Alligator mississippiensis: one gene and its partner. The protein of the gene in region 1 purifies or fractionates together with the protein of each later gene. This does not show direct contact. Links are inferred from orthologs where the notes say so. Each region holds a gene or a part of one and is shown on either strand. Other genes may lie near its edges.

Evidence for each region.
Region 2: the proteins of S100B (region 1) and IQGAP1 purify together in Homo sapiens (co-immunoprecipitation; 3 studies listed by BioGRID and IntAct, with this or other methods). This does not show direct contact. The link is inferred for Alligator mississippiensis from reciprocal best matches to the Homo sapiens genes S100B and IQGAP1.

What each region holds. Positions count from the first base shown.
Region 1 is NC_081827.1:188,577,802-188,587,151, forward strand, and holds the start of S100B (protein S100-B), read left to right. Parts: upstream 1-5,540; 5' UTR 5,541-5,636; intron 5,637-9,350. UniProt on the Homo sapiens protein: Small zinc- and- and calcium-binding protein that is highly expressed in astrocytes and constitutes one of the most abundant soluble proteins in brain.
Region 2 is NC_081834.1:413,139-422,782, forward strand, and holds the start of IQGAP1 (ras GTPase-activating-like protein IQGAP1), read right to left. Parts: upstream 3,719-9,644; 5' UTR 3,658-3,718; coding exon 3,603-3,657; intron 1-3,602. UniProt on the Homo sapiens protein: Plays a crucial role in regulating the dynamics and assembly of the actin cytoskeleton.

The DNA of each region.
Region 1 (9,350 bases):
AGCTACTGCACCCTTTATACGAGAGGTGGTCACAGACACCTGAAACAAAGAATCCTATAATCAGTGCTTGTTACTAGGGCTGTGTGAAGCTTCAGTTGCTGATTTGATTTGGAGGAGATTCAGCCAGAGTTGGTGGCTGAATTTCCAAGTCCAAATCAAATCGAGAGACTGATTAAAAGGTCTGAATCAATTCAGAGATTTGGGCAGTCTCTGCTCGCCGCTGCAGGGAGCTGGACTCAGGCTTTGTGCCGGTAGGTAGGGGACCATGAGGAGACCCCCACCAGGCCCATCCCCTGCCTGCTCCCCCAGCCCCCCAAACCCCTGCCCACTCTCCCAGCCCTGTCAGTGGCTGCTCCACCCAGCCCCAGCATCCTGGCACTTAAAAAAACCCACACTCAGTGACTGCTGCAGCAGCCACTGGGGCCTCTGGGGGCTCGTGGCAGAGCCTTCCCCATGCCATACAAGGCAGCGGGGATTGCCTCCCTGCCTGGCAGTAGTCAGCTAGTGTGGGACTTTTTTTTTTTTAAAGTGCTGGGACACTTGGGCCGGGTGGGGCAGCCATTGACGGGACTGGGAGAGTTGGTGGGGGATGAGGCCTGTTTGATTTGGAGATTCAGCCGATTTGGTGGTAGACAAATCTCCGAATCAGATTTGTCCAAATCGCTTTGGGACAGTGATTTGAATTGCCAAATTGAATTACTGCCCCCCCCCCAAATCAGCCGAATCCAAAGTGAATACTAGCTGTTTTGCACAGGCCTACTTGTTACCCTTGAATTAATCCTATCAAGTCTACAGAAATCCAGCTTACCTTTCCATCCTTCCATATGCTTTGTGCTTCATTAGTGTTTGCTACAAACATCTACCCAGTCATCTTCCATCTGGTGTGTGAGCCCTACAGCAAATCATTTGTTCCCCTTGCACAGACTTGGTCTCCTGGTTGCTACTGTAAATTCACAATAGTCCTGGGAAGCTGTAATTGCTGCAAAGCCCCCTCACTAGATAAAGAGATCTGGTTTTATCCCATTTCCTGTGGGAACTGTAGGGTCCATCTTTGGACTTTGGCTGAACTGTGAGGTTGAATCGCACATTTCCTTGGATTGTGCAAACTAATATACACCAATTTGTGTTTGGAAGCAATTTCTGGGAGTTTCTTATGATAGCAATGTGAGATGCTGGGGCCAGGCCAGAAGCCTTGGCCTAGGCCCAGGCCAGAAGCCTTGGCCTAGGCCCCTTTGAATTCACCCCAAGGTCTGCTACTAGTTCATAGCTCCTTGTGTGAGATTATTCTAGCTGTGAGTGGGGGAAGCCTGCTCAGATTGAGCTCTTCCTACCCCACTGCACAGATGAGAGCGAGAGACTGTGACTGCTGCAGGCACCTAACAGCTCTGGCTCCCAGGCCTGTGTATCCACAAACACAACCTCCCCCTTAGTTAACGGTAGTGTTTTTGCTGTGCCAGCCCCTCCCATCTACAAACGTTCCCCAACTGTTCTCTATGAACCCATAACCTGTTCCTTCCTTTCTCTGGCCAGTCCTTGCTCTTCATCCACCAGGTTTCATTCCCCTCCTTTTGTGAACTCTCTGGTCCCTCGCCCCGCCACCCCAAGTCCATGCATCTCAGAGGCTTAATGGGCACATCCTGGGTTGGGATGACTTACTGTTGAATTTGGGTATGTTCGGGCAGTTATGCTGGCTGCTGCCTCTCCGCAGCTGGCCTCACCTCCCTTGAATTAACTGGAAACAATTAAGATTAATCAGTAAAATATTCTTAAACCAAAAATAAACACGTTTCACAAGGATTTAAATAGTTCTTGGTAAATTGCCTTAAAGTCATACTTTATGTTAACCCAGCACAACAATTTAATGTAGACACAACCTGTTAGTATGGTATTGCTAATCCAAACAGGCAAACAAATGAGTCTAGTTTCCCAAATCAGAAGACTGGTTTATGACATTTTTGTTTAATACATTTTAATTTTTTTATATCTGGCTACCAGTTTTAGAGCTTTTAGAAGTGCGCCTACTTCACATTTTCAAGAGAGAGCAGGAGCTGACTGTGCTGCTGCTGAAATATAAGGTGGAGCGTAGTTTTAGATATATGTGTTAGGGTGTGGTGTGATTTTTTTTTTTTAATTACTAAACTATTTATACATGTAGAGACTCTAGTATGATCATAGCAAGTCTTGTGTAAAGGTTTTTGTGCCTGAGAAGCTTTTTTCATTTCCATTATGGAGCATATCAGTATAACTTGTCCCCACTAGGGGGAGTTGTTCAACTTCAGCAATATCTGTATAGATAAAGCCATATGGATTTTTCAGGGAAACATCCTATGAGATATTTTATCTAGAATATTTTTCTGCTGTTCTGCAGTGTAGACATTAGAGGGAGCAGAAGATACAAGAAATCCAGCACTGTAGCAGATTCTGTAAACAGCACCCTCAGGATCTCCTTTGCTGCTGCTATAGTTCTGCTGCAGTCATTCACTCCAATACAAAACAAGGGCAAACCATTGCTGTTCTGATTTGGTAGCATATTATAGGTACTTTTCATTCATCTTGTGCTGGTGTAAATATCTACACAAGGCACTGAGAAATTAGGCCAGGCTTAGAAAATTTAGGTTAGTGCATTGTTAGGCCTTTTCTGAACACAGGTGCGCAGGTTTAACTAACTTAAAGCCTCCTTTTTAAAACAGTTGCCAAACAACTTGCATTGATTTAATGCAGTAAGGAACTGACTTAAAATAACACAGATCAGCTCTCATGTGATATAAAAGTGCATCAGTATTGATGATTCTTATGCATTTACTGAGTGATTCTTTTGATATTTGGTGCTTTTTCTTGAAAGAGTCACAGAGTCTCTACTGAGGAAAACCCAGGCTGTAGATGTGTTCCCTCGGTGAGGTCAGGCCATGATAAGTGTTCTCTTTCACTCTTCTGCACAACTTGTGCTGGTGGGGTAAAAGGTTTTGGAACCAGAGAGCAGTGATTATTAGTCAGCTCTGCACTTTGACTACTTGGAGTGCCTTATAGAAGGGAGTGGAAAATCACTGTATTACAGCAGCCCCTGGTTACATATGCCTGCACCCTATGCTGCATCTTCTCATAGGGGATATCAAGATATGTGCCAAAATCTTGAGTGCCTAATCCTTCAGCTATGTTCAGTATCAGCAAGAAAAAACAAAATTTGCTTTTCATCCTTACCCCCACACTGTCCCTTGGTGGTATGGCCAAGACCTGCACCCCTCCTTAAAGCAAAAGGACACCTCTGAAGAATGTTTTCCCATGATGGTGATCCCAGCTGGAGGGATGGAATGGGTGCTGGTACTGTCCCAGGGTCTGAGCCCCAGCTCAATATGTGCATTAGCTCTGATTTTGTGTAAGCCATAAGGTCTTTGTGCACAACCAGCCGCCTGTTTACCGTAGCACAAGGCTTATAGCTCTTGAGCTTTCAAGCAGTCAGTCTGCACTTTCAGACACCACTGAATCGTATTCCTGGAGTCAACAGAATTTCCCCTGCTAAGGGGTAACAAGAGAGCATCAATTTGTAGAAATAAATGAACAGATGGCATTTACACTTGACTGGAGATTGCAATTACTGCAGGGCTGGATTGGCCCTTTTACAACAGTGCCTGGCTAGGGACAGAAGTTTCTGCAGGGGAAACCCCTCTAGAGCTTTCTCTTTATTCATCCAATCCCCTCAAGAGCAAGCAAGTATCCTGCTGAGGGGAGGACCAACCCGGCAGATCGTCCTTAACAGTGGACTTGTGCCTTTATCTCTGAGCTTCCAGGTGACTTCCATCTCTGGGACTTTTTGAATTCGTGGCTCCCAAGCCTGAAAGTCCCCCCAGCTATATCTCTGCAGAGCCAATGTTCATCATCTATTCATGCTATTTCTCCAGAGAGTTCTCCTGAGAATCTGGAAAGTAGCAGATGCCTTCTGCAGGAATAGCAAGGAGGCCCCAGGGGCATGACTGAATCCTTCGTTAGTGAACAGCACAGTAGTGAGGGAAGGAGCAGGTAGGTGCTTTTTCACCAGTAATTCAAGATTTTCCCCTCATTGTTCATGAAATCTTTCTGAAATCTATTCCTTCCCAATAGACTGGCTGACTGTATTTAACAAACATTTAGGACTCATTCATATTTGCTCACATGGAGGTTTTTTTGTTTATTTTTGCTGATTTCACTGTACTTTGGATAAGATTCTCAGTTACTGTGGAGATTTCCCTTGATTTTGATAGGCTTTGAATCAGGCTTTGGAGTATGAGCCTCATCCACAGTTGTCTGCCCAATAGTCTAGGTTTCTTCCCATCCTATGGGATTTAGGATTCAGTTGAGGATTCCCAATTAATTGCCTTCATTGCCTCATTTGTGAGTTGCCACATTTGTGAGTTAGCGAGTCAGCTTCAAGAAAGAACAATTCGTTATAGAATTAGCTTTTAGAGACGGTTGGATGTATCTGCATGATCTCTGACTCTTCAGAAACCGTTGTATGCTACTAGCTTTGCAACTAAGCCCCTACGCTTAAAGTAGAAGCATGCTACTTACCATCTCCCAGGTCTCCTGCTCTTGTTTCTTTTAATAGTACAGAAGACCCATCAGTCAGTATCTTATTGTCACTCAGAGCCTGGTGCGCATACACTTATCAGCGACAAAGAAGGAAACTGGCTTTTTCATCTGTGTCTGCTACAAAAAGGCCTCATTGTATTTTATTGGGTAAAGGGTGGGGTGCAAACAGAAGAGTGAACGAATTAACACAACAATTTTTATGTATTACTTTAAACATGTGACCCAATTCATAGCTGCACTGAATTTAGACCTAGTGGAAGAAAGTGAGGTGCGTGTAAAACAAAAAAAAAAGAAATCAAAGCCTGTTCTAACCCTGTGAACCCCAAAATCCTGTGCATCCTATTTTGAAAATGTTAGCAATGGAGTAAAATAAAAAGTAACCTTCCTTTAAAAAACAATAAGGTACCCTAACAATAAGGTAAGCAAACCTGAAAGCAAAGTCATATGCCAGCCAGCCAGAGCCAAGTCTAGAACACTTAGTTTGGCACTCAGCAATAATTCTGCACAAGCTTCCCTGACTATTTAGCCTGGATCTTACCTGTCGTACAACTACCAATTATGTGGTGGTTCAGAATGTAGAAAAAAATTTACCTTCAACAGTGACTAGGGGCCTGACCCAGAAGCCACTAAAATAACTGGTGGCTGGTCAGGACCTAGGAACGTAACAACCCCACAGCTCATTCATTCTGTTCAAAGGTAAAAAGTCAGATCATTATCCCATAATAATACTGATTCCTCCCCTGCAAACTGGGTTTTCAGAGCCTAAATGTTTTTGACTTGGTGTTGCAGGGCACCTTGGTGCCCTGCTCCTAGAGAGTGGAAACTACCAGGGAGAGAGAGCAGGACATAACGAGCACAGCTGCAGGTTGCCAGGGCAACTGGAGGCAGCGAATGACTGACACCTGACAGTGGTTAGTTGGCTGTAAGGGGCAAGGCCTGGCCCTTATAAAGCCCAGAGCTGAAGCCAAGCTGGCAGTTCTCTGCCAGCGGCCGGGGAGGCAGGAGATCCTGGAGCTAGGATGCGAGCATTGTGGGAACCGCTCTAGCTGAGTGAAGGAGGGCAGCTCAAAGAGGTTTGATCACCATGGTTTAGCCAGATGGCTTATAGTTATGTTGTAGCCTAGGGGCTTGTGGTTTTGTTGTTGTTTATTACACCGGTGGCTAGGGTGAGGCTATTAGGGGTTGGAGGAGGCTTCATAGGGAGCCCCAGGGGGGTGCGGGCCCCAGCGCCAGTGAGGGGGCAGTATTATTAGGGAGCCCCAGGGCGGGCGCGGCAAGCCCTGAGGAAGGCCTAGTGCTGCAGTAAACCCCGGAGAAGGGCGGTGTACTGCGGTGAACCCTGAGAGAAAGGGGGTAGCAGTGTGGTGAGCTCTGGAGAGCAGGGCTAGCAGTGCGGTTGGGCCTGAAAGACAGGTGGCTTGACGAGAAGTCCCAGAGAGGGTGCAGAAGTCCCCAGGAAAGGGGGCAACATTACAGGGAAGGCCCCAGAGAGGGGCAACATTACAGGGAGCCCCCGAGTGGGCTCGGAGAGCCCAAGAGGGGGGGCAGCATGACAGAGGAGGCCCAAGAGAGCGGGCAGGTGTACACAGGAGGCCCCAGAGAGGGGTGACATCACAGAGAAGGCCCCGAGGGGGCTTGGAGAGCCCAGGAGGGGGCAGCATAACAGAGAAGGCCCGAGAAACGGGCATGAATATAGGCAGAGACACACCAACATCTATTCCATCTGCGAGGCTTGGGGCGTGGTATCGGGGGTGGCTGGAGCCACGTGTAGCTCATAAGGCTAGGGTGCCTGGGAAGCACCCATCATACGAGGAGACCCCTGGTGGGTCCGGGAAAACACGGGGACAGAGGTCCCAGCTAACTGTGCCCAAGGAGACGTGAGGCAGCCTCCCAACTTAACCTAACATCAAAGACGTGGTGGGTAAGAATAGAGGGTGCCCTTGGGCTGATTTGGCACGGAGGAAGGGGCCTCAAGGAGTTCACGGCCCTCCTGTAGGACCCCCCCGTGACACTTGAGCTGTACTTACAGGCACAAAAGAGCTTATGATTTCATTCCAACATCCAAAATCACACCCCCTCTCGCTCCTTCAGAATAAATAAGGGTCCCTCTGCCTTAGGCTGTTAACACTTTTAAATAAAGCTTCTGCCCCACTCCCCCACCAAAAAAAAGATGAAAGAGATCCGTTGCTCCAAAAGTATAGAGCAATATGTGATAGAAAAGCAATTGCGTACACAGTAATGTGATTCCATAAAGTACTTTTCATACATAATTTTTAAAGCATTTTACAAAACAAGGCACTTCTGTTGTCTGCATTTATGGATGGACAAAATTATGCATAAGAGCACAGGAAAGTGATTTGCACAATGCTCTCCATCAGTTCAGTGGCAAGGACAGGAACCAAACCTGGGACTGTGCCAGTACTCAATTAGTCTTTAACATACAACTGATATTGGTGGTCATTTTCAACTTAAGCACCTGACCCAGGGGTGGGCAAAATGTGGCCTGCCAGGCCATTCTATCTGGCCCATGGGGCCCCTAAAAAATTGAGAAAATTAATATTTATCTGCCCTGGGCTGCCTGTCATGTGGCCTTCAATGGCTTGCCAAAACTCAGTAAGTGGCCCTTTGCCCAAAATAATTGCTCACCCCTGTACTAAAGCCTCTGGGTCCCCAGAAAGTACAAAGCTAAGAATAATTCAGACATTTGATGGAAATATTCAGGGATCTGATTAAATAAATATTTTATTTATGTATTTATTTTAGTACATAGTGAAAAGTAACCACACAACAATAAGAGTCACTGAAAGTTACTTTAAGATATTTATATAGTCAATGTAGGGAAAAAGGACATTTTACTTAAAGCCCAACACCTAGAGAATAATGAACTATTCTGTTGGTGTTTTCTTCATTGCTTCTGTGCAATAGCCTTTCTAAATCACATTTGTTTAGTCCATGTTAAGAACATGCAACATTCCAGGTGGAGGGTTCTTTTGTGACTGTGATCTATCTGGATTTCTGTACATACTTGTTCCATTGGAGCTATTGGTAGTTGTGTTCCAGATTATTTGTACATTATCCTGAAGACCTTATCTATATTATCTTTTCCCTTAACATCTCTCCTGTTTACATTAGCAGCAGTATAACACCACCATGGGAGCACTTCTCTAGACCTGACATTGTTATTGTATCACAGTGCTGTCAAATCCCACTCGCTATGGGCATTTATATATGTGCACCAGGGAAGGGGGGAGGAGGGAGCAGAGCTGCTTTAATTAGAGCGACTCCAAGAACCACTCTTATTAAAGCACCTGGAGCATTATGTGTGCCAGTGTCCCCATGCTGAAAAATGGCAGCAGGCACCTCCTAGATCCTGTTATAGATTCATAGATGTTAGGGTCGGAAGGGACCTCAATAGATCATCGAGTCCGACCCCCTGCATAAGCAGGAAAGAGTGCTGGGTCTAGATGACCCCAGCTAGATACTCATCTAACCTCCTCTTGAAGACCCCCAGGGTAGGGGAGAGCACCACCTCCCTTGGGAGCCCGTTCCAGACCTTGGCCACTCTGACTGTGAAGAAGTTCTTCCTAATGACCCATCTAAATCTGCTCTCTGCTAGCTTGTGGCCATTGTTTCTTGTAACCCCCGGGGGCGCCTTGGTGAATAAATACTCACCAATTCCTTTCTGTGCCCCTGTGATGAATTTATAGGCAGCCACAAGGTTGCCTCTCAACCTTCTCTTGCAGAGGCTGAAAAGGTCCAGTTTCTCTAGTCTCTCCTCGTAGGGCTTGGTCTGCAGGCCCTTAACCATACGAGTGGCCCTTCTCTGGACCCTCTCCAGGTTATCCGCATCCTTCTTAAAGTGTGGCACCCAGAATTGCACGCAGTACTCCAACTGCGGTCTGACCAGCGCCCGATAGAGGGGAAGTATCACCTCCTTGGACCTATTCGTCATGCATCTGCTGATGCACGATAAAGTGCCATTGGCTTTTTTGATGGCTTCGTCACACTGCCAACTCATGTTCATCTTGGAGTCCACTAGGACTCCAAGATCCCTTTCCACCTCTGTGCCACCCAGCAGGTCATTCCCTAGGCTGTAGGTGTGCTGGACATTTTTCCTCCCTAGGTGCAGCACTTTGCATTTCTCCTTGTTGAACTGCATTCTGTTGTTTTCTGCCCACTTGTCCAACCTGTCCAGGTCTGCCTGCAGCTGTTCCCTGCCCTCCGGCGTGTCCACATCTCCCCATAGCTTTGTGTCATATAGTGAGAGAGTTATAGTGAGAGAGTTCCTAAAACAAAATAGTGTAGACGTAGCTTTCCCACGCACGGACTTGTAAGTATTGTTAATGTCTTTCCAGAGCCAGCACAGATGGTAGAAACTGAACATGTCAGTGTGCATCTGCAATGGAGTATTATCTTCCTAATCAGCTACAAACTAAAACGCTAACATCAGCTCCTGGGGTATTTTTCTCTTCCATTTTAAAGCAAGACTGCCTTAACAGCAGGATTTACAAGAAGCAGGGATAATGGAGCCAAATAGAGAATTTATATTGGGCTTTGATAGGTTCTTTGGCCTGCGGAAGAAAGAAAATATCTACCCAGGTTGAATTACTATGACTGAGAAAAATATACTGTATTTCTTGCCTGCCAAGTTCTGTTGTCCATTTATATCCTGTTCTCAAGTGAATACAAATATCCTTGACAGTCAAGTATTGTGCAATTCCTGCCAAATGCTCTCAAATATTAAAATACCACTTACTAAAAGCATGCCCAATATTCTTGTCAGAATT
Region 2 (9,644 bases), on another chromosome or scaffold:
CAGGAGTCATGTTTTCCAGGCTTCATCGTTTTGGTCGCTCTCCAGTGGGCTCTTTCTAATCTGTCCATGTCTGTCCTGAAGTGCGGGTCTCACTACTGGCCCCAGTACTCCAGGAGAGACCACACCTGCGATCTGCAAGTGACACTCCTCTCAATACAACCCCGGGTGTCACTGGCATTTTTTTTTGCAGCAAGAGCTTACTATTAGCTCATGTTCAGCTTACAGTCCACTTCAACCCCCAGGTCCTTGTCTGCAATCCTGCAGCCTACGCAAACATGTGCATCCTCCCTTCAACTACCCCTGGGATATGGAAGTCTTGGTAGATCACAGACTCGGCATGAGTCTGCAGCATGATGCAGTTGCACAAAAGGCGAATGCAGTTTTGGGATACGGTACCTGTAATTAAAGCGCCCGGAGCATCTCATGCAGTGGATAAGCATTGGTCAGGGAGGATCTAGACGCAGCTACTGCCATGCTCTACTGTGGGTATTTCCCAGGCTTGTGGGCTTTGCTGGGTCCCAGATGGGGCTGGGAGGAAATTTTTCTCCCCCTACTGCTGTGTGTTTTAGGGGTTTGTTTGGTTTTTTGCTTTCCTCAGAAGTATTTTACTGGGGTGTGCCTATGCTGCTGCTGGGACTTGCACCCAGAGGCTCCTGGCTAAGGCCAGACCAACACTACGCTGGGGGGTTTACCTTGCGGTCAGATTCGTACAGACTGGGGGGGGTCCATACACCTTCCTCTAAAGGGAGTGGGGCCTGGCTCTCTTCTTTGGACCTCGAGTGTTTTTTAACAACCGTGGGACGATGGCCGCCATGGCCCCCCTGCTTTACCTGTGGCAGGTTCAGGTGTCGTTGTGTGACTGTGTCACGGCTGACCACGCAGTTTTGCTGAGAGGTTAGCTAATGGATTTGCCTCATGCAGGTGACTGGATTAGACGACCTCTGGAGCATCCTTCCAGCCCTGCTTTCCCACGGTTTTGTGATTCATACTGGGAGAAGCAAGGATTTCTAACAGCAATGTCTCTGACTGGACCACCTGCATAGCTGGAGTAGTGCTAGACAGGATTTCAAATGAACACTGTCAGTGTCTAATCTTGGCTCGACCGTGAATTTTTGGGGAAGTTTGAGATGAAGGGGGAAGATGACAACTACATAATCTGGTAACATGGATATCTGCACGCTCCTTCTGACCCAAAGTGAGCTGACAGCACAACTGCTGTTATAACACTGTCTGATGCTTCCTATTTTATGGGGCACAACTTCAAACTTTGGCTATTTAGGCTGAAATTCTGCATACTGGTCGCTAACCTCAGGCTGAATCATTCTGAAAATTTTCAGACAAGGAGGTTCAGCCATTTCCAAGAATAAGTGGAAAGAAAAATATATTTTGCCCATTTTAAAATAACCTGATGACATTAGTTTTAAGAAGCTCTAGCACTGCCATACTTTTGAACAGGAACTTGGCATTTGGTACATGGGTGGCCTTTACATCAAAAAAGTGCCTTTTGCTGTCCTATGAAAACCCACCCAAATCTGGTCAATCTATAAATCCTTTGGGGGAAAGGGCTAAAACTGCCCTTCACAGTGGCTTAGTGATTTTCACAGCTAAATCCCAAAAAAGACTTCAACTGCATTTAGCAGGGTCTAATCTGGGGTTTTTAACATAATTAAGCTGCAGGCTGCCATTAATGGAGACAGGGCTTGTGCAACACAGTCTCTCATTTCACATCTGCATAACGATACAGTGTTTAAAATACATAATCACATACTATTATTTCCTAACTATCCTAGACTCATTTAGCATGCAATTAGCACCTGTACTCCTGTTTCCACTACTACTAAACAGAGACCCCTCACCTTACTCAATATACATAGCGTCCAAATCTAACAGCTGGAGCTGGTCCTACTTTGAACAGGGGGCTGGACCAGATGTCCCTTCCAGCCCTCATTTTCTATTTACCCATTTACACACAGGCATATTCAAAGTAAGATCCATTTGCTTCTATGCAATTGTGACAATTTAGGTCTCAAAGCAGCCATAACCCCACAGGAGCACTTTTTCATTCTCTTGGAAGCCAAGCCTCATCCCCCTTCTAACCGGTACTGAGAATGAGACCCGGAGCCTGTGCAAAGAAGGGTGCGCAGTCACGTCCTTCACCATGCAGATACAGAAGGGGCAGAGGTAAAGTTAAAACATTAACGCTACAGTTTATCAGCTTTTCAATGTTAAAAATTACATTAGGACTACAAACGGGAACAGATTATGTATCGATTCAGAAAGGAGACAGTCTCTTTGTGCAGAAAAAAGGAATCGTCTTGCAACAACCAAAATGTTCTTGTATCAAATGAAGCAAGAGGAGACATATGGAAGGGCAGCCGGGCGTCTGACGCAGGCGAGTAGGAGGCACGAAGAGAGAACCGGGCACCTCACGCCGGAGAAGACGTGCGTACGGACTGCAGCCCATCTCCACCGCACAATGCTGGGCTGTTCACATGGGACAGGGACGCACACAGGAGAAACTGGAAACTCCACCATGTTCAGATCCTAACCCTGAGGGTCTGTGCAGCATCTGCACGTCGTAACAGGCACCTTTGCGCTCCTGTTACTTCAGGAGAAAGGCTCTAGGAAGAGCCCAGGTGGCATTCAAGGGACTGGAAGGGGCCAGGTGAGAGCGTATAAGCCCGGGCCCGAGCGGGGGCAGGTATGGGAGGAAGAGCTCCCACCCGGGAGGGCAGCAGAGGAGCCCCTGACTCGCACCAGGGATACGCTTGAGCCTGGGAGTAGGGCAGGCAAGTAGAGTATTGTGGACCTGCCTGGAAAACACTGGTGGTTTGGGCCTGGGACCGGGGGTGGTGGAGGGCCAGAGCCCAGGAACAGGGCCGAGGAAGAACGAGAGCTGGGGCTGGCGAGAGCCAGTCCCAGAGAGGGCAGAGGCAGGGCTACAGAGCCCGGAGCAGGGCCTGAACTGAGTCATCGCTGGCAACATGTGCCAGGCCTGGGTGCAGCTGGGAGGTGAGGAGGCCAGGAACCCAGCCCTCCAGTGCTGGATGAGCAGGGAGAGGTAGCTGCTGAAGGGGGATCCCCAGGCAGCCTCCCTTCCCGGGCTCGCACGTGGGTGACGGCCTGGCAGGCGAGGAGGGAAGCCGGCCCCAAGGCCTGGGGGAAGCCAAGGCCGAGCACCCGGGGCCGCACGGCCACCCCACACGCCCGGCACAGGCTGCTCGGCGCTGCCACCCAACGCACGAGCAGCCCCCGCGCCACGGGGGGAAGCTGCCCACGCGACACGGCCGGGCCGGGCCGGGCCGCGAGACACCTGCCCGGCGCCCCGCGCCCCCGCTGCAGCGCGCTTCGTGCTGGCGGCCCGGGGCTCAGCACCGCGCCCGCTCCGGGAAGGGACGGGTGCCAGGGCCCTCCGTGCGGGGCGGGGCGGGGCGGGGGCTGCGGGCGTCTCCTCCGCCACCGCGCGCTGCGGCCGCTCCCCACGCCACGCGCGGGCGGGTCACCGCGCCCCCCGCCCGCCCGTCCGTCCACCCTCCCTGCCTGCCTGCCTGCCTGCCGGGCGCGGTGCGGGGCGGGGCGGGCGGAGCGGAGCCGGTACTCACAGCCATAGTGTGGCCGGGCCACCCCGGGGCCGTCCGCTTCGTCCGACACCGACATGGCGGCCGGGTGCGCTGGGCGCGGGGCTGCGCTGCGCTGCGCTGGGCTGCGCGGGCGGGCGGGCGGGCGGGAGCGGCGGTTCCTGTTCCTGCTCTGCCCGGGCGTGGCGGCGGGGAGGAGCCGCCCGCGCCCGCGCCCCGGATCCCGCCCCGCTCCGCTCCGCTCCGCTGCCTGCTGCGCCGGGCCGGGGCGGGGCGCTGGGCGGCGAGGGCGGGCAGCCCCGGGCCGGGGGGGAGCGGACACAAGCACGCCGCTGCCCCCGTGCACGGGCGGGGGGGGGGTCCAGCAAGGCCCCCGCGCGCCAGGGCAGCCACCCCGCGGGCCGCACAGCTGCAGCCGCCTCCTCGTGCGGGGGCGACTTTGTTACAGGCCCAACAGCGTGGCGGGCGGGGGCTGTACGAGACCCGGTGGCAGCCCGCGCCGTGACACGCCCTGTCCGCGCACCCACGGCACGGGGACACCGCCCAGGCAAGGTGTGACTCGGCGGTGGCCGGGCGGTACCAGCACCTGTTCTTGCAGCACAGATCTGTGCCACGTTTCGCGGAAGAGGGGTGAGCGAGCGGGTCATCAACGGGGCAGGCAGCCCCACACTCGTGCCAGCGCCGGCGTGCCCGCCTCGGGGCACACGCTGGGGAAGGGGCTGGGGCCGCACTGCCACGCCCGGGCGCAGGCCCCTCGGGTCCCCTGCCATGCATCCCAGCACCCCGACACCTTACCAGTCCGGGTCGTGCGGGGGCTTCTGGCGCTGCCCAAAAACGCTGTGGGCCCCGGCGTAGATCGTAGAGAACTAGGGCTGAAAGAAACTGAACAGGTTTCTTGAAAAAGCATTAGTTGGTTCAGATTTGGTCCAAATCTTAGGTTTGCCCACCCCCTGCCAAAAACCCCCACTTTTTTATTAACTCATTTCAGTTGAATACTTCCAGCAATGGTTGTTGTTTCTAAATCTCCCGGTGGAAGCAGGAGACACTACCGTGGCGTGCGCACGTGGACACAGGAACGTGGGACCGGGCGACAGCTCCTGGGTCGCTGAGCCTAGCAGTGTCCTGCTGCTGCAGGGAACCACGCCGCGTGGTCGCATCCACACACTGATGCTCCATCGTAAAACGAGTCCCGTTTCTTGCCCCCACTTCTCCTATTGGGAGGCTCTTCCAAAACCTCACTCCTCTGATAGTTATGAGCCTTCTAATTTCAAGCCTACATGATTCACAGCTACGTTAATCTCCATTCATTCTTGTGCCAGCGTTGTCTTTTATTTTAGACTGTTTTCTTTCCCAGCCATGATGTTTACCTCCTTCCTGTATTTACAAATTACAGTCACATCACACTGCATCTGTCTTTGTTTCGCTAGATTAAACAAACCCAACCGTTAGGCTCTCAATTCCCCAGAGCATCCCAGTAACCCTCGTCTATACCTGTTCCTGTCTGAATTCCTCTTTCAACTAACTGGAATCGCATGCAGTCTTTCCGAGGTCTCGCCAGTGCCCTGTGAAACTGCAGTATCGCACCAGAAGGCAAAAACATTGTAGAAAACAAACCAGGCCATCTACCTGGGCAGCACCATGTTACCAGGAGAGAGCTCAGTGGCATCAGAGACGGGAATAACATCCACATTTATTCAGCTCAACAACACCTGCAAAGCAAAGATACGCAGCACTGGAACCACAGTGGAGAGTAGTCTTTACAACTCCAATATAATCTATGCTACAGCAGGGCTGCAAGAGCTGGGGATTTACCACATTATACAGGAAACAGAACGTCCTCAAAAACGAGAACCTGTGAAAGATTGTGGGCACTGCACGGGCACTCTTCCTCGCCACTCAAGAGGTCCAAGAAATCCCCAGCCAGCAGCTCGCCTCCGCCAGAATCAGAGGGAAGCACTAGACATCTGAGGCATGTTGTTTCCGGATACCAGCACAAAGATTCCCACGTGAAATAACTGATGGGAGTAAGGAGGGCTTCCCTGGGAAACTTTCAGAACAGCCCTTACCAAGGAAGGCAGAGCAGTAAATCTCAGCACCATAAGGCAAATGGAGGCAGCAGCAAATGAGAGAAAAATTAAAGAAATGAATGCATGTCCTGTGCACCAGTGTCAATGGGGGAAGGCTGCCATGGAAATACCTCACCATCCCAGGATCACCGCCACGTCACAACTGAAGTTCTAGTCCAACAGTTCATTGTTGAAGCTTCTTGTAGCAGTGTACAAGCATCACAGGTTCTTCCTCTCTGACCTTGCCCAATTTCCCAGTGCAATTACGTACCTAGAATACAAAACCCAACATTTTAAACAATGGTTTTTTTGGTTGCAAACTCATTACTAGATACAAAGTTGCTTCAACGATTTTATATCTTCCCCTTTGTGCATATGATGCAGCTAGTTATACGATCAAACTCTGCACAGAACACCTACGTGATTCCAGTTGCAGGACGAATGCCATTCAGTGAACGAGACAGGACTTCTTTTCCTTCGTAGGCACTGAGGGGACTGCCTCCCAAATCTGGGAGAGGATAGAGGATTGCCTCCCATCTAAACCCTGCACGAATTTCCTGTGCCTCAGTGAAAACCCCCAATGTGGGGTACCTGAGATTTGATGGTCGGAGCACTTATTAGCGTTTTTGTGCATTCAAAGCAAGGTACAGACACCGATCCTTGCAACCACACCTCTGGGAAACTAGGGATACTGTAATCCCCACCTGACAGATGAGGAAGGTGGAAAGGAAGATGCAGGGATTTGCCCCAGGCTACACAGTGAGTCAGTGGTGGAGCAGGATTCTAACTTGGGACCTTTGATTCTCAAAGCCGTGCTCCTTCTACAGCTCCCAAGGGTGTCAGCTGCGTCCTGAGTAACCCTTTCAAAAACCAGGCATCGGGTGTCTCAAGTCTGGTGCTCAGGTAGCTAGGGCCATTAGTACCATCATTGTCCAAATGCCACCTCAGTTTGCTATGCTGCCAACTCTGGGTTTTGAAACAGCTCTCATTTTAACCAGAGCAAACACAACCATAGCCCAAGTTTTGCCCTTAGTATGTAGCTCTTCTCCTGTCAGGATCAGCCGTGCACTTTCCTAGCCTGCTCCTGTCCCAAAAGGCATCCTGGGTGGGCTTCCAGCGAGTCCAAACTCCTGTGCCCCGTCTGTCCAGAGGGAGATGTCTTTGTTCGATAAAATATCCAATCGCACGATTTGCTTACCAACTCATCCTTCGAGCTGCATGGTATGAGACGAGAGGAGCGCTGACTTTATATCATTTCACTACCTTTCCCAATGTCTGGCAATCTACTGGGAAAACTGAAACCTTTCCCAGAGGAGGGAATGTTTTATTATTCATTTGGATAGTGCCAAGTATAATGAGGCCCTGATCTTTGATAAGGGTCTTTTGGCACTGCTGGAATAGAAATGAATACACGTAATTAGTTGGAAAAGACTGTTGAAAATGGAAATGACTCCTCCCTTCCCTGTTTTTGAAACAATTTGCAAAGATCTGGCAAGTAGGCAGGGTCTCTGTTGCTGTTCTGTCCCAACGCAGCATCCTGCTCAATTGCATCCCTTTCTTTTTCCAACTGGGAAACAATCCCTAATTAAGGAACTATCCTGGGGCAGCTCCCGTGCCAGTTACATGGCAGCAGAGAAGACTGGGCGAGTCTTGGAAGTGCAGCAGGCTCCCCAGTTACCGTGCGCGCCCTGGCACCGTCAGCCATGCGCTAGGCACAGCGAGCTGGGTCTCTATCAGTGGTCTGAGCTGTGGCTGCCGCTACAAGCTCATTAACATCCAGAAGCAACCAGAGCTCTCACCAAAACCCCTGGAGAATTCAGTAGGCCATTTTCATTCCACTTCATCCAGCTTTTTGTCAATTGAAATACACTTCTGCTGCGGCCTCTTGGGATTTTACTATCCAGTATCTGTTTCAGGGACACTCTTTCAAAGTGAGTCTCTGGAAAACAGCTACATTTGAGGAAGAAAAGGCATTTTGATTGTAAAGGCCAAGCTGGAAATGAGATCCAAGCCAAATTAACTCCTCCAGCCCCACTGCTGAATTTTCCTCAAGTAGCATAATGTACGTAAAATGCACTGTCAATCCAGTTAATCTGTGCCTTAAAGAATTTGCCCCCATGTCTGTAAGGTACTTAGCGTGCCATCCAAGACTGTTTGGAAGGACAATTTGTGCAAAAGACACTCCCCCCGCATTCAAGAATCACAGCCACATACGCCCACTCAAAATGTAATTCCTGAGGTCACTCCCCATCAGGCTTCTGCTCTAGATGCCCTAGCTTGCTGGGCTTGACTTGTGAACTGCACAGGTCCTTTGGGCACATAGCAGAACCTTTCTGAGACAGCGATGCCCATCTGGCACTGGAGAGGAATACACGTAGGTGCAGGAGAGGTGCTGAGCTGAGTACAGGCTACTAACAATACTTTTGGGTGTCAAGGTCGTTCACTCCCTTTCAAGTCCATTTCCTTCTACTCTGCCTTCAGCTGCTCTTGCTGCTATTCTTTAATGCAATCTATGAGAAACTCGGGGCTATTTTGTTCCAACAACCCTGTGCCCAGCAACTCCATGGAATGCAAGGAGAGATCTTCTCCAAGCCAACACTTAGTTCCTGCCACTGCTTCAACGATCAATGGTAAAGCAGTGGGGAAGGATGATAAGGAATATCAGCCAGTTACCCCAAAGGACCACTCTCATCAACATCGTTGCTAGATTTCTATGAAAACTACCACAGGTAATGATATATTCAGAGTTCTTAGAAAAAATACTGTTTTTAATTGTATAGTGTTTGTCACCATGGTAACACACTTGGTATCTGCATGCACAGATTGATCACCAGAAGTTACTTGTTACACATGCTGCAATTAATTCATTTCAGCATTTCTATCGAATAGGTTCAGCACTGGTGGTGAGTCTGCATTAATACAGGGGACCCTGGCATTGCTTGCTCTGAAAACTTGGGTACTCCCATCTCCAGTTATCAAAAACACTGCTACAAGGACCATCAGATTTGCCTGCTGCTCTAACCACGTCCAACTCTTCTTCTGACCCTTGGATTCTCTTCATTTTCCACATCGCTGCTTGGGTACGTGTCATTTTCAATGTCTACAACTACAATGTCCCCTTAAAAGCTGTCCAGTTTTTGTGAGCAGTGGCTGACTTGCCACTCGCATTGTTTCCTCTCTGTCGGAAGAGCTGTTTCAGCATTAATTGCTGCAGCTTCTAGAGCCCACAGACCAACTCTGCATGCTGACACCACACTGAATCTGGCCCATGGAGCAATCTTGCCTACCGGATCAGCACCACTCACCTGGCCCACAGGACCAAAGGGTTGAGCACCATTGCTCTGCATCACTGATACAGTATTGCTCAGGGGCAAGAACAGATCTTTGCTGGACATTGCAAGAAATACCCCACACAAAGATGATTCCTGATCTACAGTTACTTTGAGATCTAGCAGTTAGCCTGTCTTAATCTAGTTAACATATGATGCATTAATTTTGTGCACTTTAAATTTTAGCGCTAATAAAAGTTTGAACCCCACTGAAAATCTCAGGTGCAGAAAGCATGCACAACCTACTGCGAACAGTCACATGTTGGTGTCTCAAGTGGGTGAAGCTTGGACAGATTTTATTATCTTTTTTGTTTTAGTTTGGCCCCTGGCTTCCTGTGCTCTTAACACAGTATAAAACCCTCTCAAGCCACTCCGGCTCTTCTTTGCACATCTTAAAATACAAAAAAGGTTTCTGTAGGAAGGACTGGGATAAATCTGTAGGGAATGACCTGCTGGGTGGCACGGAAGTGGAAAGGGATGTTGGAGTCCTAGTGGACTCCAAGATGAACATGAGTCGGCAGTGTGACGAAGCCATCAGAAAAGCCAATGGCACTTTATCGTGCATCAGCAGATGCATGACGAATAGGTCCAAGGAGGTGATACTTCCCCTCTATTGGGCGCTGGTCAGACCGCAGTTGGAGTACTGCGTGCAATTCTGGGCGCCGCACTTC